Linked DNA regions of Lepisosteus oculatus. The protein of the gene in region 2 interacts with the protein of the main gene of each other region in a pairwise test. Links are inferred from orthologs where the notes say so. Each region holds a gene or a part of one and is shown on either strand. Other genes may lie near its edges.

Region 1 (7,325 bases), on a different chromosome or scaffold from region 2:
CCAAAGCCCATGTCATCGTCAGACTCCTCAGACTCTTCCTTCTTCTCTTCTTTCTTCTCCTCCTTTTCAGCTGTAACGAGGAAAGTCCCAGTTAATTACAGTCAGCGCAGCAGGAATGACAAAATCCCGACTCTCCCATTCCAGGGGACCCTTCATTTACACATCATGGCAGGAAAGCATGACAGGTACGCTTAACATTTCTTCAAAGGCTTACTATAGAATATGTAATTGAGAATATCATTTATCTGTAAGTTACCTGGTAAAGACACCCATAAATCACATCATGGAACTGCCTAAAGCCTAAATTTCAGTCCGAAAAACCTTGATGACAAAAGCAGGCTCTTATTTACCCAGAAGGCTGTGCGACGAAGGCGCCAACTACTCAGCCGTGTGACTGAAGCCGATAACCTGGCTTCTTTCACAAAGCGACTGCAGGAGATCTGTGGAACAACTAGTTCCGAGCCTAGCTGGCCGAAACATCTCCTCTCATCTGTAACATTTCTTGACGTTCAGGTAGTTTTAAAAAAAAACAACACAAGTACTCGGGGGGTAAACTGTATTCCGCAAGACCCCCCATCGTCGAGTCATCCTGTAACAGTGCGAGCCACCTTCCGTAAAGATAAACACTCCTGCTTCCCAAGAAAGAGCTACGAAACTTTTCTCTGGGTGGGCAGGGGCAGCCGGTTTCTCCCGGCGGGGGTCCTTACCTGGGGCGGCGGCGGCGGGCGCTCCGGTGGCGGCGGCGGCAGCAGCGGGGGCCCCTCCGCCGGCACCGACGCTGCAGATCAGGCTGCCGATGTCCACGTTGGCCAGGGCCTGGAACGGAGGAGAGGCGAGGTGAGAGGAGCGCAGGCGTCGCCCGCGGGCTGGCCCCTCGGCCGGGGAAGAGCGGGGACCGAAACGGCGAACCGGGTTCGAACGTACCTCCCACCCCCCCCCAGGGCACTGTGATATTTCATTCGGAAAAAATCGTCAGCCGTGTCTCATGACCTCCTCCAGCAGGTCAATGAAATATTACATTACCTGCTCACACTAGACTGTATCCAGGGGATCTCCAATACCAGCTCTGAAGGGCTGTTGTCCACAGGTTTTCATGACAACTCACTTTCTACCACTAATCATCACACCCAGATCTCAATCTTCTGGCTAAACTGAATTATATTAGCAATTTCCCCAAGCTCTTTAGGTGTTGGTGCTTTTCACAGATTGCAGAAAACCTTCAGATGATCCATGCCCAGGACTAGAGACCCTTGCTCACACTGCCTTTATTGAGCCCGGTTTCAGTCACCTGAGCTTCAGTTTGCAGTTTGTCATGATGAGAAAAGCATTTCCCCAATAGTTTAAACAAAAAACCTACAGCACCATTAATTCTGCCACAATCTATTCTTTTTATATTAGACATCAAAGCAGATACCCATTCAATGAGCTTGGGTTTGAAGTAAAAGGCTCTTGAGAAAAAGGATTCTACCACGTGAACTGCCATACTCTAAACTCCAAGATTGAATATGCTTCCTATACAAAAGCTATCGAAAGTAATTGGCCATTTAAAAGTTGTTCAATGTTAGTTGTCATGTATTCTTCCTGTTGACACGCAACAGCTCCTGTCTGTGTCTTAATCTTAAACTTCACTAATATTGACATTAGAAATCCTCATAAATGCACCACTTTGATCACTGTACAGATTTCATCCATCTTTTTCATTAATGTAATCTTCATCTGAAAAAACCTCAAGATGCATTAATGATGTAATTAGTGTCAATTCAACTGTAAACAGTAATCTGCATGAAACAGACTAACTTTCAATAACTTTGGTGTTTAAGAATTAACCCAACTTTAAAGAGCACAGGTAAAAAGAATTCTTTAAAAGAAGTGCATGTGTGTGTCTACTGTGTGTGTAAGAAAAAGGGGCTTTTCCCCCAGTCTGAGGGGAAAAAGCCAATAAAATGTTAAAGGTGTTAAAGAAGCAGCAGGGTGAGACAGTACAGTAGCTCACCTTGGCAAACAGACCAGGCCAGAAGGGCTCCACTGTCACTCCGGCCGCCTTGATGAGGGCGTTGAGCTTGTCCTCCTGCAGAGACAGGGACCGAGTGAGGCTTCACATCAGCACGTCCACCCGAAGCACGCAGCAGGTGGGATTTATACTGGACAGTAACATCACAGGAAGCGAAACTGCACGTTTCATTCAACACCGTTAAAAGCACATTGCTCTCATCTGGCGCCGACTGTACTGGCATCATCTAGGCAGAGTTTAATGCTGGTGATCGCAATTTAAGAAAATCATAACGGGCTGGAACACGTGCATCTAGAACAGTTATACTGGACAAAAACTACTCCTATAATACAGGATCTCTTGCAGCTCCCTGGGAGAAAACACGTGTCCAGCAGTATAACAGTAGGGCCCAAGGTGCAGGCCAGGTGCTCCACAAGCAAAGTAATGAAAACAACCATGAATGTTCATTTAAATCTTTAAACTAAAGGTTTAATCCTCTCCACTCACGGAGGAGCCAACTGTAATATCACTGCACTTTATAGTACATGGGTGATTTAACTACGGCTTGTAAAAAAACACTGACGCCAAGCAGTCAAGTGACATTTTTACAAGCCACAAAGCGATTGGGACTTGTACAATCCGAGACCCAAAATGAACATATGTCAGCACTTTAAAGCATGCACCGCTAACACAAGCCGACACCGAAGCTGTCGTGCGAAGGCAGTGGACCACATGAAACACTTTCCGGCTCTCCGCCATGTTGAGTTGGACCCGTCTGACAGCGGCCGGGGGAGACTTACTGTGACGGTGACTTCATCATCGTGGAGGATGAGAGCCGAGTAAATACAGGCGAGTTCGGACACGGAAGCCATTATTCTCGAAGGTGGTAGGGTTTTTGGCGTTGGATGCCTAAATAAAGGAGTGCTAGTCGCCGGATTCAGAGGCCTTAGCTTCAGATGAAGGACCGAGCACCTTAGGCACCACACGTACTGGCTCAGCGGGAGCGGAAAGAGGAAGTAGAAGGGCGGGGATTAGCTATTTGAAGTGAATGTGACGTCACGCTAGCCTTGGGCGGAGAAAGACAGCGGGGCCACACGTGTGCGCTTGTGCAGGACTGCGGGCTGGTGGTTTTTAAGTTGGTGTTTCTGAGGTTGTTGAGAAGTTACCCGTACACAAATATGGATTTTTTTTCTTTGGAAAATCGTGTAAAGTAGTGTATAAAATCAACACTTTTACAATAGTGTCGGATCTGGGTTTTTTTAGTCCATCTACATTGATGAAGCTTACATTATTAGATCCTTTGGTACTTCGGATGCGTGTAATATTTTCTGATTTTAGACAGATTTTCTTACGGCCTGCATGGTTTACTTTGTTTTTTGGTTTAACTGGGGGATCCTTATTGGGGATGGGTGCCACGTCTCCGTACTAACCAGGGCACCAGGGTTAAAACGCTAGTAAGTTGTGTATATGTGTCAATATGTACACATTTTCAGCCGATCAGACTCCTCCCTGTCCCCCACCTTCACTCCTCCTGGTCGTGCCTCCAAGTGATCCTCTGTTAGATTTGGGCACTGGCTGATGTAACGTTAATATTCAAACAAGGACTTTTAAATCAGAAACCGAACTGTTCGAGGGCAACCCTATCCATTTGAAATGATTTCTTCGCTATATGCGTTAATTTTATTTCGTAACGCGGTGTGTTTGAATCCAGCGAATGTTTGCATTTCATAAGTTGGGACGGAAGCAAAATGCTAAAGGATTACAGTTACAGTTGTATTGTAAAAGGAGAGCTCAGGATTCAAGTGGTTGCCACCGTCGACGTTTCTAGTGTGTGTGTGTGTTAGAAAAGATGGGTGTTTAATTTAGAAAAATAAAAGTTATCCGATTGGGTGTTTCATGCGACAACGTCCCTGAAGTAAAGGCCATGTTAACATCCGCGGAGGGGATCCCGAGTCCAAGAATGACTTTTGTGTCTGCTGGTTCTCTTCATAGCATCAGTACCTGAAGAGCTGGGAGATGTTAGCAAATTAGTCCAATTAATCCCTGAGTAACTTGATTCAGGTCATTAACTGGAACGAAACACACTCCCTGACCAAGGGAATCTTCATGTACCAATAAACAGGTGAGTTGGGGGAAAAAAGAAAATAATTCAGTCTTGTAGTCAAGTTCAGATTTTCAATGTTTTGTTGTCACTTATCATACATATCAATTTTACAAAGTGTGTTAGTCATCTACTGCTCCTGGTTTTAATCTTTCCATGTTTCTCTTTGTGTAAGCAGTTCATCTAAACATAAGATCAGGAATAGGAAATAATAGTTAACATGGTTTATTTTATGAAACACTCAGAAAAATCTTTTTAACTACAATTAGACAAGCACTTTTCTCTGTTGTACTCAGACATAGTGATGGAATAGAGACAGAGCTGTAGGGTCTTTCAACATCCTGCTGCACAATTGCAGCTATTAATAGATCATCTAATGACTTGTTAATTTACGTGACACCGAATAGCATTTTTTTGGCTTCAAATATGGAGTTAAAACAGTAGCTCGGGGGTTATCGTACTGCAGGCAGTCTGAGCTCAGGTGCCTGCTCTCTGCTGTCAGGTTTTGCTCAGGAGGAACAGTGAGCTCAGGGGCAGGGCCAGCAGCAGAGAGCTGAGCCTGGCAGTGGTGGAGCCATTGGCGTTGCACAGGTTCGTCTGGCAGCAGGTCACCTGGTTGCGGTTCCCAGACGAGTCCACACTGGAACCGGACGCGGCCGCAGAGCAGGTGGTCTTGCTCATGCACGCTTTTACAATGGCCTTGATGTTGCCTACAGACGCAGAGAGAGAGTTTAATCGTGGCAAAACAAAAAAAAAAAAGAGAGAAAGTAGTTCTGAAGTTTCGTAGCTTGAAATATCCACTAAAAGTAGTTCAGGTGGGGAGCTGCGTCAGCATGCGTAGGCTGCAAAGGAACAAGTAATAGGTTTATTCCATGCTGAAAAAAAGAAGAAAGAAAACAACGTTTTGGCTGTGGAGCCTTCTTCAGGTGTGAGAAAGATAAGGCAGTCAGCAAAGGTAATGCTTGTCTTTCTCACACCTGAAGAAGGCTCCACAGCCGAATCATTTTATTGTCTTTCTTCTTTTTTTCAGCATGGAATAAACCTATTACTTGTATATTTACTAGAAGTAGAGTAGAGAGAGAGAGTAGCAGAGTAGAGGAGTTTATTGCCCTATGAACATTGGAATTCTTATTCATGGGTCGTATCCTCTCTCTCAGGACATACAGTACAACAGACTGCACCACACAATGTAGCACATCACAAACACAATCAATGACAAGAACAGGAACCATAAATATGTAGTAGTGAAAAAAAAACATGGCAGACCAATGCAAAAAGTGCACATGCAGATGGGCGTAGAGTCTGAGGCATTGCAGTCGGCTGTTGAGGATGCGTACTACAGTGGGATAGAAGCTGTTCTTGAGTCTAGTGGTCCGTGCTTCAGTAGTGTGGCACTGCTTGCCAAAGCGCAAGGGGGCAGAACAGTTTGTGACCGGGATGGTGGGATGCAAAATGACATATTATCATCAGTGGGATACTTTTTACCAGGTACTCCAGTAGCAAGGCTCTGTCCAGGGGTCATTCCTCACAGATTCATAAACTATCAATGCAATTGTATTCAGAAAATAAGTAAACCGAATTGAGACTAAATGTATAAACCCTTAATTCTCTCACATCATTACTTTTACGTGAAGCTGAATGGCCACTCTACTTAGTGCTCTGGCTTAAGCAGCTGTTGTTTTGTTTTCTTTTTCATTTTTGTAATGTGCCAGGCAACTTACATGAGCAACCATTCAACATTTAATAGTGCAGACACTCTTATTACCCATTAATGTCCAGTCGGTCCTTCATGTTCCGACCAAACTATATTGAACACAGTTCTAACTGTTAGGAAATTTGAATTCTCGCGTCCAAGTCTCAGTTGAAAAGAGACAAAACTGAATTATCAAGCACGTCAAATGAAAATCCACTAACCAGAGACCAGGCTTTCGGTCAGGGGTCCCAAAATCTGGGCCTGAAGAGGCCTACAGACCTCCAGGGTTTCATTCCAGCTGAGCTTAGTTACCTACCTGAAGCTTTAATTGAATTAATAAGCTGCTTTGCTTGGGATATTTGCAAGTACTTTTTCGCCTCAAGAGTTTGGGATTTGTTTGAAATGCAATGGTTAAAAGGCTGCCTCCAGTAGGGTTAAAATCTGCAAACCGTCACACAGTTCATCCCATTATTAAGTCAATAACAAATTCAATACTGTAACAACTTGGCTGGAACAAAAACCAAGAGGTGTGTTGGTCACAGGGCACAGTATTGGGAATTATTTTTGTAAGGAGATTCAATCAAGAATGTATATCACGTAAATAAATATGGTGGGAATGAAATTTGTACATCAGAAATGGTAAACAGAATATTACTCACACCTCAGATTATTTTGTAACCCTTTGGGACAGAATTTTATCAAAATTTCTCTTAAAGGAAACCATCTCCCCTACAGCTAAAGTGCCGTGTAAATGCATAAACTTTGCTATTGCCGTGCAGAGCTTTATTTTTTAAATCTGTAGATGTTTCTTCTTAAAACATAGGTGTTTCTTATAAGCCAGGTGTTTATTATGTATCGTTCATCATATGTATCATAGATCATCTTAAATATCGCTTATCATCGGCGATCGCTGCACTCGATCCTTGTTATAAGAAACACCTAATAAACAAAGGAGAAGCCAGATTTTAACAAGTTGCTGAGGCTTGGTGTTTGTTACCCAGTTTATAAGCAGGTAAGCGGGATTATTGACATGATTACATCTGGCCATCCTGCAGGAGGAGAAAGGCGTGTGCACTGTCTACTGATCGGTCTCAGTTTCTCACCTGAAGTGACTACAGTTGTCATGCATGTGTCCAGGGGGGCCTGACAGCTCTGTGTGTTCTTGTTGCAATCTTCATTGGTAGATGTCGATGGACACACATAGCAGTCTAATGCAACAACTGAGAAAAAGGAAAATGGTGTTTTCATTGACTAGTGCCAGTTACGAGTGAGGCAGTTGTAATAATTATGTACTATTGTGTAGGTGCACCAAATAAAGACAAAATTCAGATTCTCACTCTTTTTTTTAAACAGTACAATTAATAGGGGTGGTAAAGTCTCTGAAATAAAACCACAAAATAAATTAGCTTATTTGTTATTAACAAATCTGAGACAAATCTGAACAGTGTGTGGTCCATGGCATTTTGCCTCTTCATAATTTTAATGAATGTAATCAGAAGTTACTATGACACTGACTATGAAAATAACCCATTTGTGTTAAA
Region 2 (7,796 bases):
GTGTGGACGAAAACAAGGAAAGCCAGACAAACAAAAAGGCAAATGCTTTCAAAGTCCAGTTTTTAAGAAAACAAGGCACCTCCTGTCGCACGTAGGCAATACTTTGTTTTGTTGTTTTTTTTAAGAATGGCACACGGCTGTGAAAACAAATGAGTGCTTTATGAAACCGCACGGAAATCACAGGTCCATACCTCCTCACACACTTCCCGCACAGCGGCTACGCTGGGCTCTTCTTCTGGCTCCATCCCTCCTCCGGGAACAATCCACTTATCCGGATGCCGGCTGCTACTCACCAGCAACACCTGCAATACAGACATTCCCCTTAGCCACCCTCAATGGGACAGAAAGAGGTACTCCACACCCTTCCCACACAGCCTAAATACTCAGTCACCTCACACCCGGAGATGTTTTACTTCAAGCACGTCATGAGTAAGGCAATGTCCGTCACTGCTGGGTTTAACTTACCATGGCTGAACTCTGATCCACAGAGCTGGAGTAAGGGTCGGCATCTGATCTAAAAACTGCTTTTTCAAATTGCTAGTATTTGTGTAGCACGTTTCATCTCAAAAGACCCCAAAGCACTTCACACACAAGAGGGGGGCCCCCCGTGGTATCCACTACTGAAGTGCAGCCCCAGATCCTCAGATCAGCTGCAGAGGGGAGACACGACTTACATGAACAGAAGGGGAACTTTAGCAAGACCCGAGTGAGCGAGCCCAGAGTGGATTGATACCAGGACACCAGGGTAAACAGCCCTGCTCTAACATACTCCTAGGACATACCAATCATAGCTTCTATCCACAAGCAGTGAGACTGGCGAACACATTTAGCCATCCCCCTCGGACCACACCTACACCATCACCATCTACCTCATTGTAATTTATTTATTGTACGTCTCCAGTCATTGTGTACACGTCTGTATTGTTTACATTCAAACTGTCTGCATGTTTACTTGCACATTGTCTATTGTTGGTTTGTACATTGTCTTGATGCACTGTTTGCACTTTGTTTTGTTTTTTACACTTGTTTTACAATCGAGAGACTTTCTGTGAGTAAGAATTCCATTGTACCAGTACCGGTTACATATGGCAATAAAGTTCAAGTTCAAGTTAATGTTTTCAGACATTTTTGTGTCATTTACAAAGATGGCCTTGATAATTAAGTTTAGGGGAGTGAATACTCGCATGGTGCAGCCTCAGAGTGCTGGGGCCCTGGGTTCAATTCTCATGGGTTTCCTCCAACAGTCCGAAGATGTGCTGGTAAGTTAATTTGGCTTCTGGGGAAACTGGCTCTGGTGTGTGTGAGCATGTTTGTGTCTGTTGTTGTGTCCTGTGATGTGCTGTTGTGCCCAGGGTGTACCCTGCCTTGTGCCTGCTGCTTGCCAGGATAGACTCCAGCTCCCCCGTGACCCTGATTTGGATGAAACGTTGGTACTCCTTCGCGGGGAGTACTAACAAAGCTGGATTCGGTTTAATCGTGTTTAGATCTACATTTCATCAAACTAAGTGTTAAATGCTGAAACAAGCAGATATTTTGCAAACATCTATTTTGCACTGTATATTTTTAAATGAATAGCAAAGCAAAGGGACATTTCAAATGCGAGAACCCCTTGGATGCCCCCGATTACAGTCAATATAGATAACACTGCCCGGAAGCCCGCTATTTCCTTACAGAACACGAACTGGAAGAACACATAACCTGTCCCAGATAAGATTACACCTTAGCTGGCAAACCTTGACCTTTGTCCCAGAGTCTGATCATGGATACTTGAGAAATAATGTGAGCCCCAACATGAACATATTCCTCTTCTTTCCCCTCAAATTCATGTTCAGCCTTTTGTCTGTAAAGCTAGAGCCCTTATTTACTCACATTCCTTATTCTTTTTGGCTGAGGTTTGAAACGGAACTACATTTCCCCAGCACACCTTAGCGCTCGTCATGCATGGACCCACTGCTGAAATGTAGGCACTGGTATGTGGTCTGTTGGCGCTCCATCAGTGCCCTCCTGCCAACGTCTCTCTAAATCCTATTTTTATTTTCTGATGTCTTTTCGGGTTTTCAGAAAACAATGGCAGTGCCGGCTCGCCCGGAGTACCAGGAATACGCGGAGGCTGAAATATTTCACGGGTTTGGTGAAACACTTCTTTAACAAGTCACTTCCTTTTTTTTCCCCCTTCACTGAACAGAACTGGGCACAAGCGAGCCTCACGCCCAGTCGCTGCAGACTGCCTTGCGTCTCCAGACAGGCGGTACACAGCTGCCCTGCAAAGAGCTCTGGACGCTCAACATGCAAAGAACTAGTATTTGCAGGCGCACTGAGTGTCGGCTTTGGTATTGCAGTTAAAAAGGAGCCGTGCAGCGCGATGACAGTCTGGAATACAAGAAGCACATACTGCCCCCTGTACCTGGGCCAAAACACCAGAGGCTATCGAATACCCTTGCCCCCCTTCCCAACCTGTGCCTTTCTAACGCGCTGCCTGGGCTTCTCGACCCCGCGTTTTGATCTTGTCCTCCCTCCCCATGCTGTTAGTTAGCCCCCGTCACCCTTTACTTCTCTCTTTTCTACTAATCACTTTCTCTCCGTCTTTCTCTCCCCGATTCCCAGGGCCCTCGGCTCGCTGTGCTCACTCACCCACCCAAGGCCCAGTCCCACCCCCCCGACACCCCCGCATCCTCGGCCTTACCTCCTCTTCGCTCTCGCTCCTGAAGCACAGGCAGGCGGCCCGCTTTTTGTAGCCATCCCCATCGTAGGTCCGGGTCTGGTTCGACTTAAGCTTCATCATTTCGGGGCTCCACAGACCGAAACTTAAACCCGAACCTCTTGGAAACGTCGTTGCGTTCGACGTAAAGCCCACTGAAGGAAACCCCGGCTTTTGATTAATAAAAACAACTTCTCCTCCGCTTCATTTTCTCAGACCAGATCGCATCTTCGGCACAGACGCCATTATTAGAACACTGCGCAAACCGCGTAACCTTCCCTTCACCACTCGCACAAGCGCTGAAAACTCTCCCTAATCCGTTTCGCGAATTCCGCTCTGATCTAACGTAACAACGCAGCAGCCCACTACGTTTATGACGCCGGTTAAGCAACAGGACTAGACGAGTCTATGTGGATGACTGCTTGCGTAAAGTTCGTAAACCTTGCCATACAAAAGCAAAGGGCTACGCAAGTTTCTTTGTTGCGAGTTTACAAGATGCTGGCGGTCGTGAGGCAATGTGGCTTTTATGTGATTTATGACTGCGACACATAATTTACGAGGAAAATTGGTCTAGGCAATTCACGTTTATTTAATATAATTCCCGTAGGTATTATAATTAATGTTTAGTCTATTCTCTTGTTTGCAGTGGGGGATGAAGTCACTAGATTTATCACATTGTATAAAATTGTCCATTTGAAGATGAGGGCACCGTCTCGGCAGCAACCCCAAGGTTTCCTGTAAAAATCAGACAACATCTGCGAACCAAGCACGTCTGTAGCTTTTATTTGCACATCATTACCTATGCGATACAAAAAAACGGTGTTCTGGAGCTATACTTATCCGAAATAAAATAATGTTGTTCTGTGTTTGTAAATTACTACTGAAATAAATAAATCCCATTGTATTCACTGTGAAGCTATACACCTGTATACATTTTGGCGTACTTGAGTCGATATCAATTACTCTAGTAATACTCGATTTCCATTTCTCCTCGGACAAATGCGTTCTCTTTTGGGCTTCTGTGAATCTCCGATTTTTGCGGTATTGGGTACAAAAAACGACAACGGGCAATTCGGAAGAGAAGGATCGGGGTTATCTGAAAACTGCGCTCTTGATATATGGTCTTGTGAAGCCCGCACAATCGAGATTTGCAAGGGTGTTTTTTTCTTGGTGGGAGGTATTTGGCGTTGGGCCTTCGTCGTGTGATTGATGCAACCGCACGGGGGCGCAGTTCGCCATCTCTTCAAACGAAACCGACACGTTCTCGGGGGGGAATATTAGACTTCTGAAAACTGCACTTTTGCAAATTGAGGGTACAAACCTGATGTTTGAAGATTGACACCAGGGATAAAACAAGTAAGCAGGGGACTGTTTATTGGTACTGTTACTTCCCAGTACTATGTGTAAATCTTCAACCTGGACGTTTTCGCTCTTCGGCATATCATTAGCACAACATTTTTATTATGCAGCATACATTTGTGAGAATGATGGACGTTGTTTTGAAAAAGAAGCATTTTATAAGTGTTTTTGAGAGGTTCTCGGTATTGAGGAAGCGCTAAATGTTTTGTTACGTTTACCGTAGAAAAATATTTTTCTGTTTTTGATTCAGTCTGATGCGGGCATTCATCAACGTTATAAAATGCAGTATTAATTAATTATAGTAATTAGTCAATTACAAGCTGCTGGTTCCAGACAAAGCAAAATGTAGATCTTCCTATATACACTATTAGGCCGCTAAATAGTATGCAATAAAAAATACAGCTATATCACATTCAAGATTGTATTTGAATTCATGTATGATAGATATTAATTGTCAATCGTTTATATGGTTAACGTTTTTCAAAACAGTAAAAAAAAGTTCTGAAACGTGACTTACGTAAGCAATATCTATCAAACTGTCATCATACTGTTCAACAAAGTTGATAGTGGCACGTTTTCTATAATCCTCTAAAAATCTTAAAAGTTTGAAACGGGTTTTGGAAACTGCTCTGCGACGCAGTTCTTTTTTAGCCTCTTTTGAAAATTCTGTTGAAAATTAACAGCTTTGTGTTTGGCTGAAAATGATTGCTCGGTTTAAGAATAGTGATCAATTCAGCCTCGATGACGTTGTTCGTTTAGGTTTCTATATATAGTAGCGTAACAGTATTCGGATCATACAATGTGAGTTTGTGTGCATATCTGCCACAATTTTTCGATTTTCTTGTATGCATAGATCCTTTTTGTGTCTGTAGTGAAAATAAACCATCTGGTGGAAACCGTACAAAAGGTGAGATGGATTCAAGGTTATATAGAGAGGCTTACTGGAAACAATATATCTTGTAGAAACATGCCATGACCTCGTGTTTTGCTGGAGTATAGCCCAGGATGAGTTTTATTCTAAGAAGAACCAGAAAAGAGGTACAAGGCTTTTTCCATCCGAACTGTATAGCGATAAAAAAATGCACTCGATGACCTCATCGTCTCGGCTGCCGATTGGCGGAGTTCCGCCAGAACGCATCTGTGCACACGTGACTCGCCTTTCTGGGAATGTTCCTGGAAAGAGGAGCGCTGGTTTATAGGGAAAAATACGAAGCGCAGAAAATCTCTGATTCCCACACCGCCGAGGATCAGCCTTCAGCGCAGAAAGAATATACGGGATTGTAAAGACAAAGAAACGGTTACAAATAGGACGTATCACTGGAGCAATACAATGAAATCTCGGTGAAAGAAATGCTCTGAAGAGGTGTCAAGTCAGAATCCAACACACGAGAGCTGCCAACCTGCTTTTCCTTTGCTTTCACAGAAAGTGCGCTTATTTCGATGTAACACTGTCAGACTGGCCGATACGCTGTTTATGCTACTAGTCGGAAACTGATTTTTGTTTTAAATAGTGGGTAAGCAGCGAGTCAAGACTCGATATCAGTTATGATTTGGGAATAAATGAAACGGTCGCAGTTCCTTAAGAACTACACTAACTTTTAGCCTTTCGCTTCGGTCTTCACTCGTTCTCCGAGTGGAAGGGGTTAACCCAGCCGTTTTAAGGTGTAACTGGGACAAGCTGAAGAGTAGGCACTGGAGACTACGGTACTGCAGGGTTCCGATCCAGAGCCCATTGGTTTCTGCTGGCTGTGAACCGAGCGAGGTGAGTTCGTCGTCCTCAGTTTTTGTGCGTTTCAGCTCTTTAAAGACGATAAACGAAGATCACAGCTGCAGTTCGCTCGACAATTTGTAGACATGTCGATATTTAACCGACCAATTAGCAATGATATAAAATGTGTTTAATATTAATCTCTGACGGATACAGAGGAAACCTCACGTGAAAGTGCATGATAATCACATATTACTGTAATATAATAAAATATCATAGCTCACTGTGAAAGAGCTCAACAAAGGGGCGCTTATCCAGAAGTATGCTTGCTGTTTAGAATGTCGGTTATTTTTGGAAAATACTACTTTATCAGCTGCATTAAAATATAGGTCATTTTTTATTTTAACTAATAAGCCCGTTGAATTTTAAAACGACAAAATTCAAATGCTACAATCGGAAAGGAAATACAATTCAAATTAATATTTTACGAAAACACCACGATTACATTATTAATAATCTGTCGCTTACACGTACTGTATACCATAATCGCACTATAGAATCGTTAATTAATCAGGTGTTTATTTTTCAGATGGAAAATTAGGTCATTTGAGAAGACCTCGTTTTTTGAAAACCATGTTTTGAAAATCAATTAGCTGTTAATTTACTTGTGTGTTTCTTTTGCGATACGATTCTTTTGCATCGCTTTCCTTTCACGGAGATCAGACAAAAAATGAATATTACGAAATGATTCTTGATATCTTAGTGAAAAGATCGCTATTGTTTGCGGTCATTTTTTCCGCATGATGTTCCTAATGGCAGAGAAGCTCAGAAAGGGGTATTACCTTATAAGACCTCGGTTAAAATATCCGTGGTTTAATTACTGCTTATTGTTCTGAGCAGTCAATGATCAACCTAATTACGGTTATAAAGATCATGATATGACTCTTTTTTTACTTTTAAGACCTTTTGTTGAATATGAAATTAAGCAAATAATCGTAAAAATAAATCTTAAAATTAACGGGTTGTAAATCTACTATGTTTATTGGTAGGAAAACTTCTTACGCCGTAGTTTTAGAATGCCTGCATTTTTCTTCATAAAACGCTGATTGCAGATATTACAAAACGCAAAAAAATGTTTTTAACTAAAACTGAAGATGTGTGCATAATATGAATAGGCAATTGAGAGTTGAAGTTTTCACATTACATATATGGTCAGCAATGCCAGTTAAAAATGTAATGTTATTGTCGTGTGAATTCTGATCAAAAAAACGAAAATGTCCTTTCTGTATATACATTAATTTTTAATCAGGTAGTGAGTTTTTATCTTGATTTTCATATGTCCATGTTTGATTAAATTTGCAAGTCTAATACTGTAGAATAAAGCTTCCTTGATTCATGTTTTGCATGTACTTTCAGCTTTGCAATTCAACTGTAAATTCCCTGTTTTTTTAGATTTTGGATGGGGCACACACAGTGCGTTTCGCAGACTCCAGAGGCTGACACAGAGACGCCGTGGGCCGCGGGAGAGAGAGCGGTCACCACCACCACCTCTCTTCGGCTCCCGCTTAAGCCCACCGTTGACTCTGGGAAGGCGAACCGTATGATCGTGCCCAGCCTGCTGCCGGAGAAATCGCTCATCCCCGTCCGTTTAAAGGACTCGGTATCCGAACAACAGCGGGGAGAAACCACAGAGGAGCTCACTCGAGTGGAGAACGCCATGTCTCACCTCCACGAGTCTGGTTAGTTTTTGGTTGTTTTTATCTTCAACAAACAGATGGACGGACAGCCCTTTAACCTCTGTGTTTTGGGTTTGCAGTTAAACGGTAGTCTTGTTTGGAGCATGCGTACACCGGTGGCAATAACTTCTGTTGTTAGCTAGCTTCTACAAACTATACTTTTTTTTAAAGTACATATAGCCTATGAAACGATCATACAGATTAAGATTTATTTTAATAAAATGCCTATAGTATATTAAACAATGTTGCTTCAGAAAACTCATTTAAAAACCGAACACATTCACAGATACCTGAT
Region 3 (7,095 bases), on a different chromosome or scaffold from region 2:
AGCAGTAAACAGAGCAGGATTTACTTTGGCTCCATGTTCTAAAAGTAACTTCACGCACTCTATACTTCCAGCGGCACAGGCGTCACACAAAGGAGTACTGCCATCGATGTTTCTTGCATCAACCTAAAAACACAAACATCACACCGCAATCAATCCAATTCTCCTGAAATCGCTGCATGCGGAATTGATATTTCAATATCAGTTGGCATCCTTCAACACTTTTAGACTATGTTTGCTGATCCGTTGCTTGTTTGTTTCACAGTGTCACTACAAAAAGTACTTCGGAAACGGAACTGGCAAAAATTTTGCATATGGTGATGTGAAGACCACTAACAACTGTTCAAAACATTTTTTCATAACAAACGTAAATAAAATAATATTTAACAAAGCTGATACAATACATGTTCTCACTGCATCCAGATATATACCTTTATTTACCATCTAAATAATGCTGTAGACCTCCTTATGCCAGATTTGACAAGAGGTAAAATGCAGTGAACCTTTAATTATTCTACGTGTGGCAATATAATATCAAGATTAAGTCTCACCTGTGCACCTGCTGCCAGCAGTAACCGGACACAGTGAGTCTGGCCTTGCAGGCAGGCTTCATGAAGTGGCGTGATGGAGTCGACGGTGACTACGTTCACACAGGCTCCGCTCTCGATTAGCTGCTTCAGCTGCAGGACCTGCCCATGGCTGGCTGCCTCGTGCACTGCGGTTCGATCAGCCCAGAACCCTATGGGCAAAGGCAAAAGCAATAAGGCAAGCAAATAAGCTAGCAATTCTTGAAAAGAATAGAGAAGATGCTCAGATTAATTAGTTACTAACACCCAGATGAGCAAGATGGGCTGAAAACTGTACCTCTTACTTCTACTGATCTCAAATATACAGAATGTGACAGGCTCTCCCAAAACCAGGCTACTCAAGGTCAATTTTCAGGCTTAAGTGTTGGAATGTAGAATTCAGGAAATTTGTTCTTGATAAAAACCTCATTTATTATATTGTGTCTGTAAAATTTTAAAAAATGTACAATAATGTTGACTGCAAAGGAACAAGTAATAGGTTTATTCCATGCTGAAAAAAAGAAGAAAGAGAACACAACGTTTCGGCCGTGGAGCCTTCTTCAGGTGTCAATAATGTTGACTGTTGCTCTCAATTTAACCTTTTGCACGTAAAATAAAAAAAGAACTGAGTACTGAAAACTCCAGCTTAACACAGCAGCTTACAGACATTTGAGTAAACAAATAAAAGTGCATTCTTAAATTAAAGTTAGCTAATATTGGACATTTCAGCCCAATATAATTTAACAAATTAAAAATACAAATTCAAATTTTGTCATTATTCTACAGGTCTTTCTCTAGTGTGGTTACACTATTATGGCAATATTTCAGCCTTACATATCTAACACCACACTTATTCAAGGCCCCTCAGGACAATTCCGGATCACTCAGATGACATCTTGTACCTCCAGCAACCTTGTTTACTGTATCTCTTGCAGTAAATGCCCAGGCATCTACATTGGAGAAACAGGAAGGAGACTCCAAGATCGCTTCAGAGAACATGTTAGGGCTGTGAAGATTAGAGATTTCTCCGAGGCTATTGTTTCTCATTTCACCTCTGACAGCCATGATCACACTAATCTCTCCATCTGTGTTCTCAAAGATGGTTTTCCTAACTCCCACATCAGAAAGACTACTGAAACTAAAATTATCCTGCAGTTAGGATCACACCTTTTCCCCTCTCCCAACAACAGACTAATTTTCTTCTAAATTCTCTCTATTCATTGTTGTTTTCATTTCACACCTCTCCTCACCTATCCTGACTGGCCACTCTGTCTTTCCCCTGATCCTGCCTGCGGCCCCTCCTCTCTCCCAGCTTTTGTTCTCCTGCTACATTATCTTTGCTTACTGCCCTGTCTTTCTCACACCCGAAGAAGGCTCCATGGCCGAAACTTTGTGTTTTCTTTCCTCTCTTTTCAGCATGGAATGAACCTATTACTTGTTCCTTTACAGCCTACACATGCTGATGCAGCTACCCACCTGAACTGTTATGGCAATAGCAGCTTCTGATCAATGATCACCTGTGCTTTAGTAAATTGTTGCCAGTGGTATCCTACTGAAGAAGCCGGATATAATTTTGTCACTACTAGCAGTTCTTTTGGAGGCAAGATTAGTGGTACTACGATCTTGCTCTGACGTTGTTCCTAACTGACTTAAACAACATTTACAAACCAGAATCATAACCTTGCAAACTGAGGCACCATTACATGTTACTCTTAGGAACATTATCAGCACCTAGTGATGTGCCTGAGATTGCCACAGGCATTACAAGTTGTTATCATGAAGTAGCACACTGACATGGTTCACAACCTGTAACTAGATATTAAGATCTTGTGCAACCGGTTTTACAGCTTGTCCTTGTAAACAAGCCATTGCACTCTGCATAACGTCACACGGACTGCCTTTTCTCAAGCGTATATCGTGATGCAATTAAGCTAAACTGCCTTATTTTTATTACACCTTTGACTGTGTCACTTTTGATACAATAACACCGTTTCGAGATAGAACATTAACTGTCTTCACACATACTGTAATACTACTGTAACATACACGTCTGTATGAATTCCTAATCCTTGCCTAAAGCAGTAAAAAAACACAGCTGGATAATATTTTACTTGAGTGTTGTAGTTGTTCTTAGCAGATAATAAGATTGAACTACTTCCTGACTATCACAAGCAACCCATGTTCCCAAAACAAGGTCTCCGAGTCTATACAGGCACGCATGTATTGGAATCAGGTAGCTGGTGTGTGTTTTTCAAATTGGACAGCAGAACAGCTGAACTCTAGTCCAGATCTGTGTAACTCACCAATGTCTCCTATGTTCACTCTTGCCGTGCTGGTTTCCATTAACGCGTTCTTTTACCGCTATGCACAAAACCAAACAATAAACTATTTTAGTATAATATACATACAAAGCTGTTTATACACTGATGGTAAAGAATCACGTGGTCCGACTATTTTGAATCGTCAAAGTCAAGGGTTACAGGATACAATGTGCACAAAGGCTTCATGGGAATAGTAGTTTGAACATTTTCAGGCGTCTACTGTTGCTAAATGAACCTTTTTAATTTGGCAAGACAAGACGTTTCCAAACTGAAATGTTTTGCACATGCAAAAAATATTTTTAATATTTGCCGATACTATCCTATTGACGATTTGAAAATAAAACACAATATAGATTTGCGAGCTGGCAAATATGCACAGCTGGCAATATGGGAAACAAAATATGAATGGGGAAAGGCAGGGGTCAGTGAATACTATGAAGTAGACCTTTAAGTAATCACTTTAAAGCTCTCCGTCGAGCGTAAAAATAAATTTGTGTCACATTAATTTTAAGGTTCTAGACGAGGGTATGTCTAACGTATTGCAAAGTGCTTGGTTGTTGTTTTCCATATACATTCAAATTTCACTACTCGTGTTTATAATGACATGAACAAACGGCCCCCGGATTGTTACTGGTAATGTTTTATACAGACTGTCGCCATAATATATATATACACCAATTATATAAACTGCTTATTCAAAATGTGCTTAACACGGTCATTTGCTTTTGCTATGGAATGCATGTTCATGTTAAATCTTGTAGAACATCACTTGTGACATTTCCTTACCTAAACAAACAACCCAGTAAGTCCTGAACGCTATTAAATGTTTATATAAAGACCTTGATGTATAAGAATGATGTGGGTGTTTTTACTTCAATCACACTGTCTCTCAAAAAAGAATAGGCAACAGAGAGATCAATCAGGCGGATCCCGCTGATCAGCATGTTAAAGCAGTAAAAGGCATTGATAAAACTCCACTTCATGCATTATTTAATCCTATTGTTATACGACTGATGGAAAACAATGACATACTGTAGAAATCTGCTCACCTCCCCACCCCCCTGGAGTGGACTGATCCAGTGACCCCTAACCTTTCCCCTCAAGGCTCACCCAATCGAGCCTCCCCTCTATTAAAGCAGGGGGCATCTTCTTTCTTTCTGTCTTCGTGCTTCGTGTTGCTGTCCTTCAGATGAAATGTAAAACCGAGGTCCTGACTCTCTGTGGTCATTAAAAATCCCAGAGTGTTTTTTTTAAAAGAGTAGGGGTGTCCTGGCCAAACTTTCCCATCGGTCTTTACTGATCATGGCCTCCTAATAATCCCCATGTATGAATTGGCTTCATACTGTTCCCTTCCCCCCTAACAGCTGATGTGTGGTGAGCAGACTGGTGCACTATGGCTGCCGTCGCATCATCCAGGTGGGAGCTGCACATTAGTGGTGTTGGGGAGTCTGTAAAGCCCTTTAGAGAGGATTGTCCAGAAAAGCGCTATATAAGTGTAAAGAATTATTACTAGGGGAAAGGATAAAGATATTTACACGAGGTAGGTCACGAGGGAGCTGGAGCCTATCCTGGAAAGCAGCAGGCACAAGGCAGGGTACACCCTGGCCAGGACACCAGTCCATCGGAGAGCAGACACACCAACCCATACTCAATCACACCTAGGGCCAGATTTCCCAGAAGCCTATTAAAGGAATATGGAATTGTTTGCAAGATGCAAGGAGTGGTCTTCAAGTTTGTCTAGAGTGGCAGGTACGAGCACGTCACAAGAAACTGGATGCATCAGGTGGTCGAGGAAGGGGGGAGAGACGTGCTGGATTTCCCCCTAAAACTCGACTGCATCTTTTTCTGCAACCTCTATCAGGTGTTGCGAGATTCGCTCAGCCACAGGTACCAGTACTTCATCAGGTTGTGGTTCTCCTTCCCTATGAGGCACCTGATCCAGTGACAAACACAGAACCAAAAGCGGAAAAGCGACTGGAGACCTACACCCACCCTGTCAAATGGATCCGGAGGCGAGAGACCATGAGACAACCAGAGCTCTGCACCAGCCACAGGGCCCTGTACAAAGAGGTGAGAGGCCAACTGGTTGCCAGAGAGTGGCTGCAGGTACTCAGACAAGTCTGGGAAAGGACGCAGCCAAAGGAACTCAACAAAAAGTTAAAAGACTTTAACTGGATGGACGTGTACCAGAGGCTGGCAATCAGAGAGGTCCGCTACAGACACTCGCTCACCAGGAACCCACATTCCCCTGGGACACATTTTTCGAGGAGATGCCGGAGAAAGTGTCCTGGAGCTGTTTCTTCACCAAAGCAGCATGGGTCAGAATGGACAATACTCCTGGGAGCGGGAACGAAGCTAAGCTGCCAGTATAAACTGCTGGGGCTGGCCCGATTGGAATAGACAAAAGGGACACAATACCTGCTATGGCTGCTAGTGTTCCTAATAAAACAAGGACTGTGGAACATGAGGAACACTTCTCCAGCACAGAGTGGGAAGCGAGGGAGCTGGAGGAGAGGATGCTTGCAAACCTCAGAGGGAGAATGAAGTGCAATGTTACCAAAGGAGTGCTGGAAGGGACTGTGGGCCCTGTATAGGGAGAAAGGAGGAAAAACCTGTTCATTTGAGCTCCTGCAGAGAACTGGGCAACTGCAGTTTCAGTTCCAGGACAGGGAAAAGAGACGGACAACAGCAAGTGGTAGGTCTCGGAGGGACTCTTTTTGTGCAAATCAAGCCCCAGCAACCACGTGCACAGATTGAAAAAGGAGAAACACCTTTAAGAACTTTACTATAACATACTAGAGAGTTTATGCTTTGCGAGAGTATGTACTCATTGCACGATTAATGTATCTTGTGCAATAAAGTTGATTTTGAAAAAAACCCAACATGGCATTGTTTGCAGGCACCAGGTCAACAATTGCTGCCTCCTGTTCAACATTGAAAACCTTGCCTTGACCACCAGGACAGGGTTTTCTGTCAGTTCTATAAATTAAAAAAATAGATTTCTACTGGACAAAAAATGACTCCATAAATTTCAGAAGAGAAAAAACTCCAAAAATGGATTTTATTTACTAATTTATTACTGTCCATCAAGTTTATACAGTATACGATCTCTTACCTATTCTCAAGTCCAATAATTGATGCTACAGCTGAACACGCCTCTGGCCTGGCCACTGGTTCACGCAGTGAACGACCAGGATCAACAGTGCCCATTAATATTTCTTTTTGGCACCTCAACTCTCTGCAGTCTTCCTCCACCTCTTCACCCCTAGGGTTGTGGTACCCCTCTTCCTCCTCTTTTGACCATCCATCTCCAACTGAACAGTGACCCTCTTCATGTGCAATTATGAACTGAGTGATATTTTAACAATTAGCTTAAGATTACTTGCATGTGTGTAATACATATGGGAGTAATCCCACGTGGGAGTAATTATTATCAACTGGGAAAAAATGAGTTTTGTTTGACCGTATATTTCTACTTGATTTTTATGTCATTCGTAGAGCATCATTTTTATTGTTTACCACAAGAGGTGACTGACATTTGGATTTTCTGGGAAAGCAATGATAGATTACTTAGTTTTACAAAAAGAAATGTTTCTGTTTTGCTCATTTTAGTTTTGATGATGTGAGTCACAGTTGCAAATTGTTTTAGCAATCTAGGAAAACTACAACAAAAACATTAAAAAAGGACATTTATAGAAATGAAGTCATCATAGATACTAAAAGATATTTGAAAAGCCAGAAATTGCAACAGAGGATAAAATAATTGATAACATCTCTTCTCAGTGTTACAACAGCAAAAGAATAATAAAACGTAGTAATAAAGGACATGGTAACAGTAAAGGATGGATTAAAGTGACTCAGAGATGATAATGGGAAATCTATACTGCTTTTAATGAAAGTGAAAAGGTTAATGTATTAATTGAATTAGTCACTCAATTATTTACCACGGAAGTGATACCTCTCAAGGTCCTGCCATAACCATTCAACATAACTATTAGGTCCAGACCTTGACTTGCACTCCCTAAAATGCTAAACACAATCTCCTTCAGCCATTCTATTGTAGATCTGCTTGTGTGTTTAAGATCGTCTTGCTGTATGACACTTTGCATTCACCTTCAGCTGACGAATGGCAGAGATTCTCCTCCAGAAATTGCTGATACAATGCCAAATTCATGGTTCCGTCAATGATGACAAGCTGCCCAGGTCCTGAG

Evidence for each region. The genes of interacting proteins can lie anywhere in the genome.
Region 1: the proteins of nudt3b (region 2) and rplp1 interact in a two-hybrid assay, tested with the Homo sapiens proteins (2 studies listed by BioGRID and IntAct). The link is inferred for Lepisosteus oculatus from reciprocal best matches to the Homo sapiens genes NUDT3 and RPLP1.
Region 3: the proteins of nudt3b (region 2) and ankyrin repeat and SOCS box protein 13 interact in a two-hybrid assay, tested with the Homo sapiens proteins (2 studies listed by BioGRID and IntAct). The link is inferred for Lepisosteus oculatus from reciprocal best matches to the Homo sapiens genes NUDT3 and ASB13.

What each region holds. Positions count from the first base shown.
Region 1 is NC_090705.1:33,982,752-33,990,076, forward strand, and holds the start of rplp1 (large ribosomal subunit protein P1), read right to left. Parts: upstream 3,015-7,325; 5' UTR 2,863-3,014; coding exon 2,791-2,862; intron 2,069-2,790; coding exon 1,994-2,068; intron 817-1,993; coding exon 708-816; intron 71-707; coding exon 1-70. Other genes in the region: prostate stem cell antigen-like, read right to left, coding at 4,590-4,801, 6,888-7,004. UniProt on the Homo sapiens protein: Plays an important role in the elongation step of protein synthesis.
Region 2 is NC_090700.1:29,595,442-29,603,237, reverse strand, and holds the start of nudt3b (diphosphoinositol polyphosphate phosphohydrolase 1), read right to left. Parts: upstream 3,005-7,796; 5' UTR 2,783-3,004; coding exon 2,684-2,782; intron 303-2,683; coding exon 192-302; intron 1-191. Other genes in the region: suppressor of cytokine signaling 2, read left to right, coding at 7,225-7,504. UniProt on the Homo sapiens protein: Cleaves a beta-phosphate from the diphosphate groups in PP-InsP5 (diphosphoinositol pentakisphosphate) and [PP]2-InsP4 (bisdiphosphoinositol tetrakisphosphate), suggesting that it may play a role in signal transduction.
Region 3 is NC_090702.1:43,654,294-43,661,388, reverse strand, and holds the start of ankyrin repeat and SOCS box protein 13, read right to left. Parts: upstream 3,015-7,095; 5' UTR 2,907-3,014; coding exon 2,867-2,906; intron 737-2,866; coding exon 549-736; intron 124-548; coding exon 1-123. UniProt on the Homo sapiens protein: May be a substrate-recognition component of a SCF-like ECS (Elongin-Cullin-SOCS-box protein) E3 ubiquitin-protein ligase complex which mediates the ubiquitination and subsequent proteasomal degradation of target proteins.